3 linked regions of the Rhinolophus ferrumequinum genome follow. The protein of the gene in region 3 interacts with the protein of the main gene of each other region in a pairwise test. Links are inferred from orthologs where the notes say so. Each region holds a gene or a part of one and is shown on either strand. Other genes may lie near its edges. The genes, in order: SLC15A4, CD81 and GLP1R.

Region 1 (7,191 bases), on a different chromosome or scaffold from region 3:
GTATTGTCTATCCTTTGGGTACCTGCTGGGTGCATTAGGTCATTTATTTATCTGACTAGTTTAGCTGCACAGGAGAGACTCACACAGTTGTTTTCAGGACAAGTATACCCAACAACGTGGGGAGAGGCCACTTCCACCAAGTCTTTAGCTATACAATCACTGGGGCTTAGTACAAGGGCTGACAACCCCCGATCACAGGGGGCCAGGCAGAGAACTCTAAGAGCAAATTGGGCCGGGTCCGAGAAAACAAAAATCAGGTTGCCCTCCCTTGCTCTACCTTTAATGTTCCCACTTCCTGATCGAATCACAGTAAGTGGCTTTGGCTACAGGTAACAGAAAATCCAACACAGTAGCTTAAACAATGTAAGATTTGTTATCTTTTATTATCTGACTTTTCCTTGATTCTCAACTGTGCTACCCACAAAGCTGGCTTCATCCTAAACCTGTTCTTCTCAGGGTTGTGAGATAGCTGCCGGCAGCAATTGGGGCCACGGAATTCCTACTTCACGCCCAGTTTGGAAAAGTGTGTCTGTCTCGCAGTCATGGAATAAGGGTTCTTTCCTTCAGCCTTGCTGGGCCAATTTATGTCACCTGTCTTCTCCTGGGCCCTAAGAGATTTTCATATCCCCGGTGGCTAGCATCTGGGTTCCTGAAGAGCAGGAGAGACCAGCATTGGTTTCAACTAGCCAGATCCAGAAACAATGAAGTTAGTTTCTTCCAGGCTAGATGGGTAGCTGGTGGGGAGCGGAATGGGATGGGGACAAGTAAACACCTGAGTGGAATCAGGATTCTGTTTGGAAGGACAAAGAGGGTGTGCGTGTCGGACAAGTGAGTGATCGGGCCCTTTCACGTGGGCGCGGAGCAGCGGTGTCAGACAGGTCTTTCTGCAGGGGTAGAGTGATGGCCAACATGGGCGTCGCTTGTCACGTGTGGCTACTGAGCACTAGAAATGTGGCTGGTGAGACTGAGGGAAAGCAGTTTCATTTTATGGAATTGGAACTAATCTAAGTTCAAACACTGCACTGGACAGTGCAGACACAGAGGATAATTTCTCTACCGTGAGAAAAACAAAACAACAGAGAGGGGAGGATTTCAGTAAGCTAGAAAGTGCATGCCTCATTAAAGACAGTGGCTATTACCGGCCGTCAGCAGACAACGGCTGTGAGGGAAGTCAGCTGTGTTTCCACTATCTGATGCCGGGTACAAACCTCCCCAGTACTTACTAGTTTATAATAACAACTATCTTGTTTGTTCAGTTCTGCTATCGGGGTTGAGGCTCGGCAGAGCAGTTTTTCTTTTGGTCTTGCTGGTCATGATTTGTGTGGCTTCATTCAGCTGGCAGGTGGCCTGGGGTGCTGGGGCAATGGGATCCCCCCACTCTACCAGGTCACTGCTGCCTGTCCCTCATCATGTGACCTCTCCAGCAAGGTAGCTGGACTTCTTACATGGCATTCTGGACTCTTATAGGCACAGAAGTGAGAGCTGCCAGACCTTCTTAAGGTTTAGGCCCAGACCTGGCCCAGGGATACTTCTGCAGGGTCTCTTTGCCAAGCAGGTCATAGGCCCAGCCTTGTAAGACTGTGACCTGTGCAGAATATATAAGAACAAACACGAGAGGCGTGGTTCGAGCAGGGATAGGGTGCTGTCACTAGAGTAACAGGTGACCACAAGTCCCAAAGTTGCCAGAGTTCTCAGGTTTTTACTAGCAGCAGGGCATCCAAATTTGTATGTGAAACCTTCCAATTTTTAACTGTTACCTCACATTTTTGGGGGCAACAGCTTTATTGAGACATAATTCACACGCCATATAGTTCAATCCATCTAGTGTTCAATTTGATGATTTTTAGTACATTCACCGAGTTGTGCAACTATCAGCACAATTAATTTTAGAATATTTCCATCACCACAAAAAGGAACCACGGACCCTTTAGCAGCCATTCCCCAATCTTCCCATCCCCCCGCACCTGGCAATCACACCGCCATCTGCACTCTGTCGGTACAGGTTTGCCGATTCTGGACAGTTCATAGAAATGGAATCTTGCAGTACGTGGTCTTGGCTTTTTTTTTTTTTTTTTTTTTTTTAACACTGCAGCCAAACCAAAACATTTCTGCCTGCTGGATTTGTTTTGCAATCTCAAGGCATGAGAGATGGCAGTGCCCAAGACCCCTCCCACGGGTCAGAAACAAGCAGTCCGAATTCCTCAGTGTCAACCTGAACTCTGTAACTGCCTCCCTCCCCCCTTTTCTCTCAGCTTTATGCTTCTTCACTGAAACAATCCAATTGAGGTGGTTTGCTGTCCTCCAAAATGGCACATCTATAACGGGCAAAGGTTCAACACCACGCCATCGCACGAGCCACGCCAAACGGCTTTTCATCCCACGTCTAATGTTCATGTTATTCTGGACTCTGCCTGAGTGTCAGTCCTGTCCGTCTTGGGTCAAACACTCAGAGGTCCTGCCTCGTCTACTGGCTGAAGGGTGGAAGAAGCACTGGGCTAGGAATTACCTAGTTACAAGCCTTTTCTTTAAGCCTGATTCCAACGCCTCCTACTATGTGTGATCCTGCAGAGGGATCTTTAGGGGTTTGCTTTTCCCGTTAGTGAAATGAGGCTACAAATATACGCTGTAGACATCATGGGAATGTCAAAAAAAAAAAAAAAATCAGGTGACTAGAGAGGTTCTTTCAGCACCATTTACAATTCAACAAATATTCATTCATTTATGCAGTTAATTCCACACGTATTTATCATTGGTGGCTACTGCGCTCGATTCTAGGAATATAGTGAGGACAAAATAAACGAAGTCAGCCCTCCAGCTTGGAAGATAGCTGTCAGTTTCACAAAATAAGTAATTATAAATTATAATGGGTGCTGTGTAAAAAAAGAAGTATAGGGTGCTGTAATGACATACAAGGAGGGGATCTGATCTCATCGGGGACGATCGGGAAAGTGATACAGGCTGATAATTAAGCTGGCTAGCACTGCTGGATCGTGTGGGGAAGGTCCTGTTCTGGCTTCCTGGTGCTCTCATTAAATATTCACCTACGGCCTGCTGTGTGCCAGCACACCAGGCATTAGTCTAGGTGTCAGACATTTAGGAAGGTAAAAATGTTAATACTTGCTACTTAAGTGTCTTCAGAAGGACCACCTACCCTGATGACCCACTGGCAAGCCGCCTTCCCAGGTGATGGCTCCTTCCTTTTCTTCGCTGGAGTTAAGGATGGAGGAAGAGGAAACAATGTCACACTAGTTGAATCATTGCAGCCATGCTTCCCCATTTCTGAAGACATGCTGGGGGCCGGTTTTGGAGGACACTCTGTCCCACTCCATGGGCCAGGCACTGTTGTAGGTACCGGGGGCACGGTGAGGAACAAGAAACAGAAGAACGCTGCCACCATGGAGCTTGCACCATGGGGACCACGGACAAGCTGGGGAGACAAAAGAATAAACAATAAAACAGACAAATACGATGGGGAAACTAAAACAGGATGGGGGTGGGGTCGACTTTGCATGGGCTGGTCAAGAAACGCTTCTAAGAAATGACCCTGGAGTTGAGAACTGGAGGAAGACAGGATGCCAACCACGTGACAAGGAGCCGGGCTCTGAGCTTGGCTCATTCTAGGGCAGTGGTTTCTCAATGGGGGTGATTCTGCGGCCCAGGGGCCATTTGGAGGAATTTTCAGTTGTCACAGCTGGGGCACTGGGGTGGAACCGGCATCCAGTGGAGAGCAGAGGGGAGGGCGGCGACTAACCGTCCTCCTGTGCGCAGGGCGGCCCACACCCCAGACAAGCGCCTGCCGCAGTACGGGCGGCCGGGGGCCAGGCGGCGGGCGCGGGGCCCGCCCAGCCACGCAGGCGTCAGCCTCAGCGCGGGCCGGCTTTGCAGCGGCGGGGCTGGCACCTCGGGGCGCCCGGCAAACACTTGAAAGCCTCATGGACCGTGCCCGCGGGAACGCCTCGCCCCGCGGCCCCACCCACGGCGGAAGCGCGGCCGCCACCGGGGCGGGCTTCCCGGTGACCCCGGAAGTTCCCGCGGGGGCGCGCCCGCCCAATGGGGACGCTCGGGGGGCGGGCCGAGGCGGCGGCGGGCCGGTCTGGCGACGAGGGCGGCGGCCCGGGCCGGCAGAGCGGCGGCAGCGGCGGGCGGGCGGGCGCATGGAGGGCGCGGGCGGGCGCGCGGGGGAGCGGGCGCCGCTGCTGGGCGCGCGGCGGGCGGCGTTCGCGGGCCGGCGCGCGGCGTGCGCCGCGGTGCTGCTCACCGAGCTGCTGGAGCGCGCCGCCTTCTACGGCGTCACCGCCAACCTGGTGCTGTTCCTGAACGGCGCGCCGTTCGGCTGGGAGGGCGCGCAGGCCAGCCAGGCGCTGCTGCTCTTCATGGGCCTCACCTACCTGGTGTCGCCGTTCGGCGGCTGGCTGGCCGACGCGCTGCTCGGCCGCGCGCGCGCCATCCTGCTCAGCCTGGCGCTCTACCTGCTCGGCATGCTGGCCTTCCCGCTGCTGGCCGCGCCCGCCACGCGCGCCGCGCTCTGCGGGGCCCCGCACCCCACGCGCCTCCGCAACTGCTCGGCGCCGCCCTGCGCCGACGCGCCCACCCGCTACTGCGCGCCCGCCACGCTGAGTGCGCTGGCGATCGTGGGCCTGGGCGTGGGCGCGGTCAAGGCCAACATCACGCCCTTCGGCGCCGACCAGGTGAGCGCGCGGGGTGCGGGACGCGGACGTCCACAGGCTCCGAGGACCCGTTGGGATAAGCCCTGGGGAGGGGGCCGTGGGGACGGGGCATACGGATAGATGGCTGCCAATAGAGGCACCTCCTTTTTGCAAAGGAGCCATTTGAGGGGTCACCTGGACAGTAGTATCAAGGGAGCTTCCCAGACAAGGCGGCTGGGCCCGGGAAGAGAGGAAATCCTTGGTGGTGGTGTGGCTACGGTAGCAGTGGTGTTGCGATCCAGAAATGTATCAAATCAACATTTGTCCGCCTTAAACTTACACGAGGTCAGACGCTGTGTTTTTTAAAGTGGGAAGAGAGGTGGTAGGCAGGGGCCAGGTCCTGGGAGGCTTGATAAAGAGTTGGACGTCTGCTTTGCATACAGTACGGAGCCTTTGTGGATTTTCAGCAGGGGAGTAATATGATCTGATTTATGTTTGTAAAAGATTCAACTGCTGTTGCCCAAGGCGTGGCAGCTGTGGCCTGCCAGGCAAATCTGGGCTACTTCCTGTTTTTGGAGCTAAGAATAGGAATGCGTCTTGGGTTTTTAAATGGAAGGAGAAAAACAAGAATGTTTTGTGACAAGTGAAAACTCTATGAAATTCAAATTTCGGTCTCCACAAAGAAAATTTTATTGAAACAGAGGGTGCCCCACTCGTTTCTGTTTGCTTCTCGGCAGCGCAATGGCTGTTTTCACAGTAGAGGAGCAGAATGGAGTAGTTGGGACAGAGACTGAACGTCTCTCAAAACCTAAAATATGTAGGCCCTGCTGGTCAGACGACGAGCACGGACGTACGGTGGAGAACCTAGGTTGAATGGGAAGTGGTGGCAGCAGGACGCCAGGTAGGAGTGTGTTACATTTGCCAGATGAAAGAGAGTGGGGCCGTGGGCGTGGATCGATGTGTGTGGATTTGGGATGAGTTATGGAGGTCGAGTGAGCGAGAGGAAAGACAACTCCTAGGTTTTCTGTTAAGTAGCCATGTAGTTGCGTACATTCACTGCGGGCTTTCTGTGTGCTAAGTACTTTATTAGTCCACACGACGCCACTGCTCGTACTGTGCCTATTTTACAGATGAGGAAATGGAGCTTTGAGATGTGAAGTCATTTGCTCCAAGCTACACAGCTAGTGCATGACTGGGCCAGCATTGGAGAGCCTGGTCTTTGGGATCTGAGCTTTACCAATACCTGTATAAGGCTATCCAGCACAGTAAGGCGACACCTTGTAGTGACGTTGGAAGTAATAGTTGCCTGGTGTACCGAGTTCTTCATTCCCTGCACCATGGAATGTGCTTTACACACTTGATCTCATTTGAACCTCACATGGATCTTCTTACACCCATTCTTCAGACCAGGAACCAGGCACGAAGCAGGGATTGGTCATTGCTGTTGTCCTGTGGGCAGTGAGTGATCAAGCCAGGGGTTTAGTCCAGGTCCGATTTCTTAGTCCACACTTTAGCCATTGCACCAAGATAAGCGGGACATGTGTGTTCTGTGAGGGAGCAAAAGAAAGGCGGGGGGCCGGGTGTCAAGGCCGGGGCGTGTGGCTTTGGCCTTGAGGTGCCATCAGCTCACAGACCACAGCAGAGGCCACCTGCTGGGAGCACAGTTGTCCATCTTTAATGGCCAGGCCACAGGGTTGAAGGGTGACATGAGTCTTAGGCCCTTTCCTGCTCTGAGTGCTCCTCCTACATGGTCCTACTAAGCCCCCAACAATTTATATGCTACAGTTGTTCTGTCTTATAGGCAACGGGCTTCGAGGGTTTCACCCACCCAGGGCACACAGCTGGTGAGTGGGGTGGCTGGGTTTGGACCCAGGCGTGATGACTTAAAAGGTCGTGTTCTCCGGGAGATGACAGATGCGAAATGAATGTAATTGCTTAAAGAACAAATGGTCTTATAGGGGTTCTCTACAACACGTGACAGAATATGCCCTCTTTTGAGGCGTCGTTAAATGTGGACATTAAAAAGAAATGTGTTCTCTTCTACAAGATAAGTGGCCTAATCTCTCCACGTCTGACACTCGGGGAAACCAGGAGCACGGCAGACGCGGCAGTGTTAGAGGCCGGGCAGCCAGAAGCAGCGCGTGCTCGTGAGGAGGTCCCACAGGTTTTTTAAGGCATTTGTTTCAGACAGTTGGGATAAGTGAATATTGACAACATATTAGACACACTTGTGTTGATGTGAAGTTTCTCAGGTGTCATAATGGCATTGTGGTCGTGTAGAAGGATGGCCTTGTTTTTAGGGGATTCATGACGAAATCTCCGGGGTGAAATATGATGCTGCAACTTATTTTTAAAAAGTTCAGCCTAAAAAAGTATTTCAAAGATACAGACGAAGAACTAAGGATGTGAGTGAGTGATACGGGGGTGTATTTCTTAATTATTCTTTCAACTTTTCTATCAGTTTAAAGTTTTTTTTAGTGAAAATTAAGGAGATGTCCAGCAGCTGATCCACGGATAAAGCAAAAGTGGGCCATCTACACAGTGG
Region 2 (7,591 bases), on a different chromosome or scaffold from region 3:
GCCACCTGGGTCCACCAATATGACAAATATAGTTTTTCTTTCCCACATCACCTCCATTCCCCCATCCCCCTTTGCAGTGATCACAAGGCAAGGGCTGTAAGTTCCAGTGCCAGAAGGAAGGCTGGTTCCCAAGTTAGAACGGTAAAGGCGCTTTCAAACTTGATGTCATCCCGCAGGTGGAAGTGTCTGGGTGTAGATGGAGGGGGGGAGGAGTAGCAGCTGAGGGGAAGGGATGACTGAGCCGGTTATGTCATGTAATGAGGGGGGCCCGAGGCGGCATTCACGCCTCGAACGAGGCTCAGGGCCAGAGAAGAGACTGTCTCGTAGGCGTAGCTCCATTATATGGACCGATGCCTGATGGGGACGACACGGAATGGAGGGTCCCGGACGGTGAGGATCGATTTCCGGGCTCTCGATTCTATGCATTTGGTTTCCACATGGTTCTGATCACCGTAGCTTTGCAGGAAGTTTGAACCGGGAAGTGTGAACCCAACAAATTTATTCTCCTTTTTCACGACTGTTTTGGGTGTCCCGGGGCCCTTGTAATCGTATAGTACTTAGGGTGAGCCTGGTAAAGCCAATGGGGACTGTCATAGGGGTTGTGTGGAGCCGTCGGTCAATTTGGGGAGCACTGGTATTGTGGCAAGACTGAGTCTTCTGATCTGTGAACCCCAGGAACCTTTGCATTGACTTAGACCTGCCTTCGGTCCTTTGACAATGTTTTGTAGTTCCCAGTGTCCAAGTCTTATAATAAATTGGCTGAATTTATTCCCAGATACTTTGTTCTGTTTGCTGCTATTTATTACAAATGGGATTGTCTTCTTTATTCCATGTGTGGACTGTCCATTGCTCGTGTATAGATATAAAATTGATTTTCGTACCTTGATCCTGTCACCTGCCAATTGCTGCAGGTGTCTATTAGTTTCAGTAGGTTTTGGGTGTATTTCTTCGCGGTTTCTATGCACTATGTCACGTCCTCTGCTTCCCTGTCCAGTACAGATGCCTTTTTCTGTCTTCATCTTGCCTACGTGCCCTGGCCACAGCCTCCAGCGACGGAGAGTGGCTGTCCTCGTCTTGTTCCTCCCCTTAGGGGAAATGCTTCCAGTCTTGCACTTGGTAATGCTATCAGCCAGCGGCGTTTTTGAAGGTGCCCTTTATGAGACGTTCAAGGAACCCTTCCATTCCTGAGGTGTCGAGTGTTTTCATCAGGATAGAGTGCTGGGTTTGGTCAAATGCTTTTCCTGCAACTGTGGAGATGATCCTGTCCTTGACTCCATCAATGTGGTGCGGTGCATGGATTGTTTTTCGGATGGTAAAGTCTTCCTTTTGTAAGTAGGAAGCTGTTCCCCTCAGGGCCTGCCTTTGAGTCTCAGCCAAGTGCAGTGAGGGTGGCTGAATCCCCTTTGCAGCATTCTCTGCATAAACAGCCTCTGTTCCATTCATCTGGGTGGTCTCGGTTTACTTCCACAGGAAATCAAGGCACAGGGCGGGGTTCAGTGATTCCCCCTGAACAGAAAGCATGTCCCAGAAGAGCAGTGAGTCACCCGTCCTTGGAGTTGGGCTTGGCAGTGAAGTCTGTCTGCCCAACAAGCTTAAAGGAGGCAGTGGCCTCCAGCATGCTGCTCCTCTCACCGCCTCACATTCCATGGCACCACTGCATATGGGGAAACTGAGGAACCAGCCAGAAGTCACACGGAGGGAAAGAGACTCGGAGCTGAACACACCGGGGCAGCAAGGCCCACTCTTTGCCCCGCCTGTCCTCAGGACCTCAGCCCCGCCCATGGGCTGGTGGGCGGGGCAGGCACAGGGAGGGGTCTCCCACGCCAGGCCTGGCGCAGGCAAGCCTCTCCCCTCTCTCCATCGTTCTCTGACGCAGCCCTTCTGGGTCTGTGTGTCTCAGAGCCTGGATGGAAGCTCCAGGCTGTGGGCCATCCAGCCCACAGTGGGGCTCTGGGGATCTTTCCCAGGACGCAGTCCCTGAGGCCCACCTGCCCCAGATCACACTGCCACACATGTCATTGCTACTGTGATGTTCAGTGTTGTGTGTTTGTTAACGTGACTGGCCACAGGGTGCCCAGATGGAATATTATTTCTGGGAATACCCGGGGGTGTCTCCAGGTAAGATTAGCATTTGAACAGGTGGACTCAGTGAGGCAGTGGCCCTCCCAATTGGAGGGCTTATCCAGCCCACTGAGGCCTGAGTAGAACCAAAGGCAGAGGAAGGGGGGACTCTCCCCTTTTTCCTGCCTCATCCCATGAGCTGGGACCTCTCCTCTCATCTCCAGCCTTCGGTCTGGGATTTACACCATCAGCTCCCTGCTCTTGACATCTGGACTGAAACTAAACGCCCCGCTGTCTTGGGTCTCCTTGCAGATGGCAGGTCCTGGGACCTCCCAGACTCCATAATCACACGAGCTGGTTTGTAATAATCTCCTTTATAATCTATAGTACATCACACACACACACACACACACACACACACCTCCTACTGATTCTGTTTCTCTGGAAAACCCCGGTTAATGCACTGGTCCCCTTCAGTCCTCACAAGGTCAGTTGGTGGCCCCTGGCACTTCAGAAGTGGTCCCTGCGGACAGCCCACAGGTACCAGCCCCTGGAGGTGGTCCCGACCCTCGAGGCCCATTTTCCCTGTGAATGCAGGTCCCACTGTGGGGCTAAGGCAGTCTGCTCCCACATATGTCCCCATTCAGGTCAGAAGTCATGCCTGTGGTGCCCCTGCAGAAACCCGCCAATGGCTCCCACGACAGTCAGGATTGAAGGAGACCTCACACTGGCCTTCAGGCCGGAGAGCCAGCCACCTCACCCTTGGCCCTGACCTCCTTGGGTGTGGCCCTCTTTCCCTCCTTCTGCTCCCGCCCTACTAGCATCCTTTCTGCTCCTCCTACCAGTCTCCCATCTGCCTGGAGGGCAGAGCTGGCTCTTTCCCACTCTCTAGGGCCAGGACTCATTGTGGATCCTCCAAACCCGCAAGGAGAGGAGTGCCCCGCCCCTGCCCTCCCCACCCCCCACTCCATGACTCTTTCAAGCCTCCTGGAAATTTCCTCCCTCCCCAGTCAACATGAGACATGATCATCGTGAGGCAGCATCTGTCACAGGCCAACAGTCCTTGAGGGAAGGGGTCCTGGCTGGTCAGCTCCCACAGTCAGTGCCTGGAATTGCAGCTGGCAGGTAACAGGCACCACTAAACATCTGCCACATGACTGAAGCAAAGCACAGACCAGGCTAGCCAGGTGTGACCTGCTCTGGGGAGGGCTGGCCAGCGACGCAGCGCAGTGGGCATGCTTCTGCCCTGCTCCCTGAGGGTGGGCTCAGTGTCCTCCTGCTCCCCCCACGGGGCCCAGGGAAGGCCGTTCTCTGAGGATTCACCCCACTTCTTTGGCAGTTGACCTGTAACTGGACAGCGGGGAGCTGTGGGGAGCGCAGGACCCCCAGGACATCAGGGCAGGCATTTCCTTACACCAACACTGTCCTGCCTCCTTTTCAACAAAAACAACCCTGGCAGACCCTCAAAGGAAGAAGACTTCAGTTACTTTTATTATGTCACTTGGACGTGCATAAACAACACTAGGTGTAAACGTGTGCTTGGAGCTCTCATACACGCGTGAAGCCAAAACAAAATTTAAAATTAACCACCAAGAACACGACAGCTGAGCACAGATGAATACGACAGGGCTCCTCTGTAATGTGGCCGCCTTTGCCTACCCGCGGCCATCCAAATTTACTACAATGAAAACCTCAGTTCTCGGCGGGGGCACTGGCCACGTTTCAAGTGGGCAGTAGTCATTTGTGGCAGTGGGCATTTCCATGGCTTCATCTGCTTGTCACTTTGCTGCAGACTTGCTCTGTCACCTGGGGAGAAAGCATCCCTCACTTGAGGAGTCACCTGTCTACCTCCTCATTACCCCGGGCAGTGAGGGCAGTGGGACCACCCTCACTTCAGGAAGACAGCAGCATCTGGGCGACCTGGCACCACTGACACATGCACGAAATACGTACAAGACATTTGGAGGTTCTCCTACAGGTGGCTTGGGCTTCCTAGACAGTTAGCAGTGGCCTAGGGTACACCTTTCGAAACAGATTCTTCTAAGAGTGGTCAGCGACTCCCCGGACCACGGGACAAAAGGGTTTGGATGCCTAGAATTGCATTCCAGGATCTTCAGGTCGAGGTCCGCTTACTCTCAGGCCTCATCGCCCACCCAGGTTCCCATTCCCGGGAGCGATGCGAATAAAGGGCGCTGCTATCTTGGCTTACGTAGCCTTTGCTGGCGCATCACCTCTTCCAGGAAGCCTTCTTGGGTAGGTACAAGGTGCCTGAAGAAGAATTGTGGGAGAAAGGGAGAGGTTCTTCCCTGGGCATCCTCGCCGCGGTCCTGTCGCTGCGCCCAGCACAACGCGTCTGGGTCTGGGGTCCTGGGGACACCAAGTCCTCTAAGTGTGCGTGCGAGGGGGAGGGGTTGCCTCCGGGGCCGCGGGGCCGGGGACGGAGCAGACGGGGGCGGAGCAAACGGGGGGGCGGTGTCTGGACGCCATATAAGTGGCGGAGCGGGGCGCGCGCCCGGACCGACAGCGAGCGCGCAGCGGCGGCTCCGGCCTCACGTATCCCAGTCCGGCCTCCCGCGCCACTCGTCCCCGCGCGCCCGCTGCCTCCGCGCCCGTCGGCCGCCGTCTCAGCCCCCGGCCGCTCACCAGGTCCCCAGGCCCCGCGCCCCTCTGCCCAGGACCGGCCCGCGCCACACAGGCCGCCCGCCGCCCGCGCCGCCATGGGGGTGGAGGGCTGCACCAAGTGCATCAAGTACCTGCTCTTCGTCTTCAATTTCGTCTTCTGGGTGAGCCCCGGCCGGGGGGGGCGGGGCGGGGGCGCCCCAGAGCAGAGCCGCGGGCCGCGCGCCCCGCTAGGCCCCGCCGAGGGGGCACGGCCGGGCCGCCAAGTTGTGGGGCCACCTGTGCGCGCTGGGCGCGGGGTTGGGGGTCTTGGGCCGGCAGGCCAGGGCAGTGGGGGTCGTCTGGGAGCGTCGCGACCCCTGACGGCGGGGCGGGGGGCTGCGAGCCGGGTTTGGGGGCCTGTGGGCGTCAGGGCCCGGGTCCCCGCGGCCGGGCCGGGGCGTTTGGGGGCCTCAGGTCTGTTCCCGCCTGGTGATGGTGATAGGTGGGGTAGATGCGGGCTCCGGGCCGCGTACTGGGGCTGCTCAGCCCCCTGGATGCTGTTCCTGGGACCACCCTGCCTCGCGGGGACTGGGGGGGGGGGGCTTGAGGGCGGGTCTCAGGGCGTCCCGCCCCCATGAGCTCATCCAGGCCACCGCCCCTGCATGGGCGGCCAGGTTGGGGGTGCACACGCCGTCCGAGTCTTGGGTACTGGCCACCCCACTATTGGCCCAGCCCAGCTCACCCCCCAGTCAGCTGTCGTCACCCTGGGACCGTTCTTGGGGTCTTGGACTGGGGTGAGCAGACAGGAAGCACACTGGGCCGGGTGTGGCCTGTGTGCTGGCGTGCCTGCACCGTGGTGGCCCCCGTGTGTGGGGCCAGATCCCCCTGCCCTTCTCACCCAGACCGAGATTCCAGCCAGGCCTGGCCCCCAAGGTGGTGGAGGCCTGGAGAGTGGGGATGGGGCAGTCCCTTCCAGTTGGCACAGGGCAGGGGCCTGAAGACCTGGGTGTCCCTGAGCTCTGGGGGCCAGGGGCTGGCCTGGGACTTCCACTGTGGAAAGAAGCACCCACAGGATAGTCCTTTTGGGATTTTCCTGACTTGGGTGTAAACTGCTGGTCAGTGACTGATGGAGTTTTGCTTTTGTTTCCATTTCCTGTCAGTGTTGGGACCGGAGAGGCGGTGGAAGGAGCCCCTCTCATGATGGCCGTGCCCTCCTCCCTGGGCAGTGACTGGGACCCCTCCCAGGCTCCTCCATGCTGCTGCCACGCCTGGCTGCTCACCCCGAGTATGTGGGGTGGGAACATATGCTTCCCATCTGGACAGCCAGGACCCAGAGCGGTTCTCGGGCAGCAAGGGATTTGGGGTCGAGAAGACAGAGACTGGACTGAACTCTAGCTGGGGGTAGAGTGCGGTGTCACATCGACCTAGGGGACCCCTGGAGGCCACTGGCCTCTGCCTTGGGGGTGGGCCAAGCCTGGCCCCAGGCAGCCACTAGGGCCTTTGAGGGGTGGTGTCGTCCTGGATTTAGTGTTTGCCGGCTTTGGCCAGGCAAACATAGGGGTCAATGGGGCACCCAGATGCCCCTCTGCTGAGCCTGGATATGGGGGCGAGGACCCTGGCAGGGCGGTAGAGGGTAGGCACAGGAAGGGGACTTCTCCAGGAGTAGATTCTTTGTCTTTGGGCCTGGTGTCTGGGCTGTAAGTCCCTCCCACCTGCCCAGCTGGGGAGGTCTGCAGATCAGGCCCCCTGGAGCTGGCAGCTGGGCCAGTCTGGTAGTTTCCCAAGCAGCTGGGGTGGAGGCTCCACACGTCCCTTGGGGCTGTTCTTTATTGAGACTTAGGGAAATGTTTCCGAGGCCTGTCCCCTCCCTCCCACTTCCAGCTGAGCACTGAGAACTGTGTCTGCACCGTAGGTCTCCATGGTCCAGTCACCGTGGCCCCACCCACCCATGCCGGTTCACCCCCTCTGGTGAGGGAATGCAGAGCTGAGCCTTGTGGGGCTGGGGGCACACCCTGCAGGAGCCCCTCTCTGCACCCCGCTCCATCACCAGGCTGAGCCTGGTGCAGTGGGGTTGGGCTTGGGCAAAGTTTCCCTCCCACTGCTCTGGTCCTAGCCCCCAGCTTCTTCCCCTCTAAAGTGGGGTCCTCCGAATCCTATCTCCTGGCGTTGCTGGTCGATTGGCTCACAGGTAGGGGCTGAACTCAGGAAATGGATGTTGGGCCAGGTGGCCAGCAGGAAGCCTGCTCAGCGTGGTCCCGGTGGAGGCAGTGCCTTGGGGAAGGGTTTCAGGCCCCTACGTGGGGCTCCCAGTGCCCAACCTGACTTGCTAGCTGGGCACCCCAGTCACAGTGCAGGAGTGGCTGCCAAGGGTGGGAGCCGGGAGAAGAGGGTGACAATGGGTATGTGGACCCAGAAACTTTGTAAAATTCCTTCTTGGGGAGTAAGTAGAAAGGCAAAGGCCCCAAGCACGTGGGAGCAGGCCTGAAGGTGGCCTGGCGTGCTTCTCCAGGAAGGAGCTGGGTCACCCTGCACACTTGCTCTCCTGCCCTGCCGGTGCTGAGACCCTGGGGCTCCCCAGCCAGCCAGGTATCAGGTTGGGAGCCGGAGCCAGGCAGCATGGGACCCCTGCCCATCGGGGTGGGACAGGGGGCTTCCTGGCAGAGGGGGCCGGTACGGTACTGGAGCAGATGAGGAAGGGCACAGGCTCAGATCCCTGCTCACCGCACTGGACTTGGTGACCTGGGGCAGGCGGCTGGCCTGCATGAGCCCTGCTGCCCTCACCTGGGAAATGGGCATGATAAGAACCCACTTCTGGGGGGCTGGCCAGGGAGCCACTGGTCCTTGCGGGGAGAGGAGCAGAGCGTTCCTTGCCTGGGACTGGCTGCCCGTCCGCCTAATGCAGTTGGTGGCTGCCTTCCAGAGGCAGGGT
Region 3 (7,971 bases):
TCAAATCTCTGTTCTTACAGAGCTTCTTGCCCTCTCTTCTAGGGCCACTTGTCTTAGTCCATTTGGGCTACTACAACAAAATGCTATAGACTTGGTGGCTTATAAACAACAAACACGCATTTCTTATAGTTCTGGAGTCTGGAAGTCCAAGATCATAACACCAGCAGATTTGGTGTCTGGTGAGAGCCCACTTCCTGGTTCATTGATGGCCATGTTTCCTCTGTCCTCACATGGTGGAAGGGACGCAGGAGCTCTCTGGGGTCTCCTTTATAAGGGCACTAATCCCATTCACGAGGGCTCTGCTCTCATGACCTAATCACCTCCCAAAGGACCCACCTACTAATACCATCACATTGGGGGGTTAGGATTTCGACATATGAATTTGGGGACTGGGGGACACAAACATTCAGACTATAGCAGGGCCTGAGCGAGAGGCCCTGATAACCGTGTGGGGAGAGGAGAGGACCGTACTCCCCAGTATATAATCTGTTCTCTCTCCCAGCACATCCTCCTTTTGATAAGTTTTTGAGCGCCTACTATGTGCCAGACACTTCAGTGGATATTTGGATTGACACATTTCCATGAGGGCAAACATCACTGAGCACCTGCTATGGGCCAGGGCCTGTGCCGACACTGGATATCCAGCGACGAAGATGGAAACATCCTTCCCTCAAGGAGCCCACAATCTAATGAGGGAAAGTCATAACGAGATAGTGACAGAACACAGTAAGAACTTCAATTTATTCCATCTGTTGTTTTGAACAAGAGTCATTGAACACCTAGTATGTATGTGCCAAGCATGGCACTAGGTACTGTGGGTATAGAGGTGAGTAAAACAAGATCCCTACTCAGGGAAACCGAGGAATTAACCAGCATTCAAGAGGGTTCCAAAGTGTCCAGATGGCGGTAAGCACAAGGGACCAGGGCCCTGCAAAATTGGGGTGGGGTGCAATCATGGAAAACTTCCAGGTGGGGGTGACCCCTCCACGGAGGCTCTGAGGGTGGGTAGGATTCGGGGTACCCTGAGGGAGAACCATGTTTCGGGGAGACTTCCAGGGCTGTCACTGCTGACTAAAGCATCTGTGCTGCCCAAAGGGGCACTGAGAAGCAGGGATAAGAGAAGTTTTCTTAGACAGGCAGCTGCCTGAGCTGGCTCCTAAAGCATGAGCAGGAGCTCAGGCAGGCAGGGTGGGTGAGGACACTTCAGACAGAAAGTACCACGTGTGCAAAGAGATGGGAGAATTACTTGCAAGAGGTCCAGTTGGGAGGTAAGTGGGGAGCAGATCTAAGGAGACTCCTTAGATGCTAAGGAGTTTGGAGGAATTTGGAGGATTAGGGAAACAATCGCTAGGCTCAGGGACAAGGTCAGATAAGGGTTGGAGAAAACGATCCTCTAGGAGACTGGATAAGGGGGGAGCGAGAGCAGCTGTTTGCAAAACAGAACCAGACCTTGGACCTACTCTGAAGCTTACTTACCTTACAAGTTGGGGGAATAATACTGACAAATGCCTGATACCCAAGCTCCCAGCAGCTGCAGGGCACATCCACGGAAGCACCAGTCATGGCAGGCGCCCGGTATCACCCGTCATACTGGAGACAGAACCAGGAAGTGTCTGTGAACACTGGGCACTTACGAGGCACCGACCTGTGCCAGTGCTGAAATACAGCATGCTGGCCCTCCTGGAGCCTCGGTTACAATCCACATTGGCACATATGAGATAAGGGGCAGCCTCAGAGCAAACTCAGAGGCTTTGGACCCCCAGGTGTTAAAAAGAGAAGTTAAATAATCTGCCACCCAACTGCCTCTGGGCTCAGGGGCCCGGCTCCCATCCCTGGATACTCTCATATGCCCACTGTCTTCAGCTGGGCTCTCCCAGAAACAGACCCTGAGATGAGGATTTCAGACGAGTAGTTTACTTTTATTTGGGAGGTGTCCTCAGGAAGCACTAGTCCCCTACTGTTAGAAAGTGAGACCGGCCAGGGAAGGAAGCCAACACTGGGTGCATTATGGGGCAGGTTAGCACTGCGGGAAGCTGAGGCTCCACCCCTCTGGGACCTCTGGGAGACTGTGGTACACACGTGAGTTGTCCAGTCCAAGTGGTGAGGAACTGGGGTATTTATCCATCGACTCATGTCCGTTCACGCTTGAGAACTGCTCCTAGGGGTGCCTGCCCTGCACTGGCTGAACACAAAAGTCTCCTCCCAGTCACAGAAAGCCCCTGCCCTGCAGAGAGAAAGTGGTCTTTTAAGTGCGGAGGGCACGACTTGTACAGCATCTGCTTATCCCAGCAGTGCTAATTCTGAGTGTAATTGTAATCTAAATGGCTCCAAAAAACACTTATTTAATGTCTTTCTCCTGCATTAGAAAGGAATCTCCCTGAAGATAGATGCTGTGGCACCACGTAGCACCACTCTACCCCTGAGGGCTTAGTTCAGTGTCTGGCACATGGCAGGTATTCCATAGATACGTGCTTATGGATTAAATGTAATTTGGAGGTTGATAAGTTCATAGTAAAGGCAGAGTTCTGTGTACTTTCTCTAGCCCCTTAGCTTCCGCTCTTCTCTCCTCTCCCCATACCCTAACCCTGGTATCAGAGAGCCTGCAAGTTGTTTCCCAACATCTATCTATCTATCTATCTATCTATCTATCTATCTATCTATCTATCTATCTATCTATCTATCTATTATCATCTATCTATAATCTATCTATCAATCCATCTATCTATCTAGATATATACACTTGACCCTTGAACACACAGGTTTGAACTACACAGGTCAAACCTGTGTAGTTTATACACAGAATTTTTTCAATAAATATACAGTCGACCCTACATATCTCCAGGTTTCGAATTTGCAGATTCAACCAACAGCAGACCAAAGACAGTATTTTTCTTTCTTTCTTTCTTTATCTTGTTCCTTTGTTCCTTTCAGTTTTATACCCCACATATCAGTGAAATCATATGGTTCTCAACTTTTCTCATCTGACTATTACAGAATTGTACACTTGAAACCTGTGTAACTTTACTAACCATTGTCACCCCGATAAATTTTAATTTAAAAAAAAGAAAAAGAAAACAGTATTTTTCTATCCTCGGTTGCGAATCCACAGATGCGGAGGGCCAACTATACCCATTGGTCTATCTATATCAGTTTATAGAAGACACTTGAGCATGCATGGATTTTAGTAACTGTGGCAGGTCCTGGAACCAATCCCCTGTGGATACCGAGGGATGACTGGAGTTAAGTGTTTGGTGAGTCAAAAGTTATTTATACGTGGATTTGCAACAGCGTGGGTCAGTACCCCTAACCCCAGCGTTGTTCGAGGCTCAGCCGCGTTAGCCTTCCTCTAGAGTAATAAAAGCCCTAATAAACTTTGCCAGAGACCGCTTAGAATAAAAGTCACGTTCCCCAGCCTCCTTTGGAGCTAAGAGTACCATGTATCTAGTTCTGCCCGGTGGGCGAAACTGACAACTGCATTTTCCAGGATGTGCCTTATGGGTGGAGGTACACCCATGTTCGCCCCTTTCCTCCTTGCTGGCTGGAATGTGGACATCATGGTCAGAGCTGGCGCAGCCACCATGGATCATCACGTGGAAGGGAGCCTTGCACCATGAGAATGGTGGAAGCTACAAGAGCCTGGGACCCTGGGGATCAGGCAGCCACTGCTCCAACCTGAGCTGAACCTCTGGCCTAGCTGTACATGACACAGCCCTTGGTTATGCCATTGTTGTTTGGGCTTTTCTGTCAGGTGCAGATGAACAAACTAATCCTAAATGACACACAGAGGTGACTGTCAAACTGACTTCTGGGAAGAGGAGGGAATAAATGACTCCAGGGTCGTGGAGACAGAGCTGGCTGGGGAGGAAGACCCCTCTTGCTGAACGGGAGTCCCTGGCTCATGCCACGAGCTGTCTCCCACCTCTTCTCCTTCCCAGCCCCTTCTCCCTGACAGCGCCAGCCTCCTCTGGGCTTTGAAAAGTTCTGTTCTTTCCGAGGAACAGCTACTCCAACAGATTCCCTCTCCCTTTGGAATGCTCCAGACATGCCCCATGGCAGGTCCAGGGCTGAGGGCTGCTGCCGCCCCTGTTCCCCACAGTGACATCAAAGTTCTTTGTGGGGTGTGGAAGGTAATCCCTCTTTCCCAACCCCAGTCCTCACAGGCACTACTAGGTAACAAAGTCAGTGCCTCCTTATCTTCTTAGCACGCTCTCCCACAGCCTGCTGCGTTTGGGGGTGGGGGTGGACACAAAAGCAGGTAAAATAGGAGGAGACAAAGACACAGGAGTCACAGGGAAGTCATGGGCACATGTTATCGCACCGACACAGGATTCTCAGAGCCCAGTGATTCAGAGCAGGGGCCGTGGGGGCTGCAGAAGTGGGAGAAGCACTCCCCACCATCAGGGCTCCATCCATCCATTTGTTGTCTCCCCTCTCCTTCCCCAACCTTGGTTGTCCCAGGGCTGCCTGCGGGACAGAGCTCGGGAATAAAGAGAGGTCTTGGAAAACGGTTAAGTACCCAGCTAGTCTTTCTAGTCACTCGCAGTTCTTAGCGTGACACTTTCTGGGAAGGGTCTGAGGGACGGTGTGACCTTGGACCAGTCCCTTGGCCTCCTCCAGCTTAAGTTTCCTTGGGCGTACCCTGAGTACGTGTGGGGCGGTTTGGCTTTCCTTAGCTGGAGGCACCTGGGAGGCAGTGCGGGGGTGGGGGGCGCAGGGCCGGGCAGCAGCCGGCCGGGACAGGCTGAGCAGCGCCACGGGGACGGCAGGGAGGCTTTCGCGGGCCGGGGCTGAAGGCCGGGGACCCCGCCTGGCCCCTCCCGCGGGCGGGGCGGCCCCGCGCCGGCTCCTCCCCCGCGCCCGCCGCTGGCCGCCCGCCCGGGATTAGTCGTCGCGCGCGGTTCCGCAGGTGGCAGCGATGGTTCAGTCCTGAGCGCCCCGCCATGGCCGGCGCCCCCGGGCCGCTCCGCCTGGCGCTGCTGCTGCTCGGGGCGGTGGGCAGGGCCGGCCCCCGCCCTCAGGTGAGGCCGTGGAGCCCGGGGAAGGGGGGAGGCGGGAGCGCAGCGGGCGGCGGGTCCGGGCTGGGGCGGCGGGACTTGAGCGAAACTCCGCGACCGCAGGCAGACGGACCCCAAGCTTCGAGGGGAGTAGGGACTGGGGAGTTGGCGTTCTGGGCTGGGTGACCGAGGTGGCTTGGCCGGCGGGCGGCTCTCCCATCCCGGGCGCGGCACCCTCTTCCTGTGACCGGGGCCCCCCTGCCAGGGCGCCAGCTGCCCCGCGGCCGCCTGGAGCTGACTTCTGTGCCGCGGCTCCCCAGACACTTTCCCAACTCCTTCTCCTCGGAAACCCGTGCCGGCCGCCCTGCCCCGGCCCAGGCTCGCCCCCTTCCTGACCTCAACGTCTCCCACTGCGCCTTGACCCTGCCCCGCAGTGCCTCCCCGCAGCCTGCCCGCTCGCTGGTCAAAGACCCTGAGACGGCTCTGGGGGACAGAGAGAGCCGGGGGTGGACACCCAGCTCCATTACCCACTCACCAGCCCCCCGGCACAGCCTTTAACTCATAGCCCCAGGGACCCTGCGGTGGCAGCTTGTTGTCCTTCCTTGTGACCTCCCAGATGGAACTCGAGTGCCACCCCACCCCACCCCCCAGCCCCTGCGGCAAACACGCCGCTGGAGGCTCCTGCTCCTCTGGAAGCAGCCAGGCCCCCCTCACACTGGCCTGAGCCCTCCTTCTGAGCCCCCCTGATGGACAACACACCAGAGCACGTACTGAGACACACAGACACCTTGGCCTTCTCCATGTCCCTGGAGAGCAGGCCACAGGGTGGACCCCAAAGCCCTTGTCCTTGGCCTTCACTGTCCTCCCTCCTCCAAGCTCCGGGGCTGGGGGCCATCCATGGTCAGCCTGCTTTTGGACAGGGAAGTTGTGCAAAGCTGCTGTGAGATGCTCGAGCAGAGAGGAGGCACAGGCTTGGGTGGCCTGCCTTGTGTCAGGGAACTGGCTTTTCCATTGCCTCCCATCCCTACCCTCAGACCTAAAACACCGAGAGCTTTGGGGAGTGGACCTATACAGGCTTTGAGATGTGTCCCAGCACAGGTGGGAGGCAGGGTGAGGGGCCATGGCCTTGGCAGAGGCTGACTCTGCCCCTTAAGAATCCAAATGTGGACGGATGTAACTCCCAGCTAAGGCGCCAGGCCATTTTCGGTCCCCAAATTCTTTTCCAGATTTCTTTCCTCTCCCTGTACCCCAGGACAGCCGCAGGAGACACCCTCCCTCCCATAGCACCTTCCCCCAACCCCTCAGCCAGGCTTTGGCTTCCCAGTGCACTTGGGATATTTCGGGAGCCAGGACTGCAGACCCATTACCTGCTTCTCTCTCACCTTTACTCCTCCTCTAGGCTGGGCTGGGCTGGGGGTCCCATCCTGTTCCAGGTCAAGTTTAAAAACCGGTTTGGATTAAGGGAAGAGGAGTGGTCCTGGGGGCTGCCTGTCTTCTCCTCTTTTACCCAGAGGAGTCGGGCTCCTTGAACCTGCCATGTCTTCTCATCCCCTCATTTCTCAGCCCTGGGCCAAGGGCAAAAGCCAAATATCCTGAGGTCATAACAGGTGGGGCGGAGGCGGAGCAGAGAAGGGCAGGATGAGCTGGTCTCTGAGCAGAGAGGAGGGAGCTTTGGGGCATGCTCTCCTCGGGGACCCTGCGCATCCCCAGGCATCCCCAGCCCCCGTGGAGATCTGAGCGACGCGGCCTTGGAGGTTAGACTGCAATAATTATGACACAACCTCATGCCCGTGTGTAAGACTCTGAAAATGGCAAATCTCACATTCTATTTTCTGTTCATGAGATTGGTAAGACTCCCCTCCCCCTTGCGTGTCACTGATGGGGGGACAAAAGCTCAGAAAAGAAGGATTTTCTGTGTAAAGTGACCCAGCGGTTTCGAGAGGAACAAGGGGTGCAGGGCTGGGCTGGTGCCTAATTCCAGCCTACCCCAGCGGGACTGAAGGAAGAGCACAGAGTGAGCTGTCCTCTGTCAGGTCTGGCCAGGCTGGAAGCAGCTTCCTGCAGGCAGGGCGATGGCTGATTGAGCTCCAAAGAAGCAGACCTGGGCCACTTTCTTGCTGCTGGAAAGGACCAGCCACCCTCTACCCCCATTCCTTCTCCCAGACCCCTTTGACGGAGCTGTTCTACTGAGGAGACAGGCAGGCCTTTGACACCCAAAATTAGAACGAGACAAACCTGAATTCAACTATCGGGTCTGTTGTTAGCTGGACGCTTGACCGTCCAAACCGCAGTTTTGTCATCCAGAAATAGGTGTCACCAGCTCGACCGTACAGGGCTATGGAGAGGACTGAGACACTGGCGCCCTGAGACAGCAGCTTCAGTCGCTTGGGGGAACTGACTTGTTTGTCCTGAGGAATCTGAAAGCCTTCTCCAGGACAGCAGAGTAGGGCTGTGGGGACTGGCCTCTGCACTCCAGTGAAGGGTGGAGGGAGTCCAGGATGCACAGTGGTCAGTGAGGACAGGGACTGCCGGTGGGTGCAGGGGCAGGAGCAAGCAGGACGTCACACCCTGCTCTCCAGTGCGTTAGCTGTGGCCTGCCTCTAGGCAGATTTCCGTGTGTGTGTGTGTTAGAGAGATACAGAGATACAGTAACAGACAGGTAGAGAGAGATAGAAAGAGAGAGACCAAGGGGTGAGGGGTGTGGGCTCTATGAGCCTGTTTCTCTGTGTAGTTGTATGTAATCCTGTGTGTGGCAGTCTGCCTGTGTGTGTCACTGTGTGTGAAACATCTCGGCATATAATTGTCTGTGACAGTGTATGTGTGTTTATGACCCTATGTATGACGCTGTACCTATGGGAAGGTCTGTGTGTGTGTGAGAGAGAGAAACAGTGTGTGACTGGGTGTCTTCCAGTATGTGTCCGTGTGTGGGTGAGAGAGGTGCTTGTGACAGAATGAGTGGCTGTTTCTCTGTATATAT

What was found.
Region 1: the proteins of GLP1R (region 3) and SLC15A4 interact in a protein complementation assay, tested with the Homo sapiens proteins (2 studies listed by BioGRID). The link is inferred for Rhinolophus ferrumequinum from reciprocal best matches to the Homo sapiens genes GLP1R and SLC15A4.
Region 2: the proteins of GLP1R (region 3) and CD81 interact in a protein complementation assay, tested with the Homo sapiens proteins (2 studies listed by BioGRID). The link is inferred for Rhinolophus ferrumequinum from reciprocal best matches to the Homo sapiens genes GLP1R and CD81.

What each region holds. Positions count from the first base shown.
Region 1 is NC_046308.1:2,063,070-2,070,260, forward strand, and holds the start of SLC15A4 (solute carrier family 15 member 4), read left to right. Parts: upstream 1-4,154; coding exon 4,155-4,688; intron 4,689-7,191. UniProt on the Homo sapiens protein: Proton-coupled amino-acid transporter that mediates the transmembrane transport of L-histidine and some di- and tripeptides from inside the lysosome to the cytosol, and plays a key role in innate immune response.
Region 2 is NC_046294.1:1,565,968-1,573,558, forward strand, and holds the start of CD81 (CD81 antigen), read left to right. Parts: upstream 1-4,583; 5' UTR 4,584-4,778; coding exon 4,779-4,844; intron 4,845-7,591. UniProt on the Homo sapiens protein: Structural component of specialized membrane microdomains known as tetraspanin-enriched microdomains (TERMs), which act as platforms for receptor clustering and signaling.
Region 3 is NC_046286.1:8,927,722-8,935,692, forward strand, and holds the start of GLP1R (glucagon-like peptide 1 receptor), read left to right. Parts: upstream 1-4,886; 5' UTR 4,887-4,940; coding exon 4,941-5,018; intron 5,019-7,971.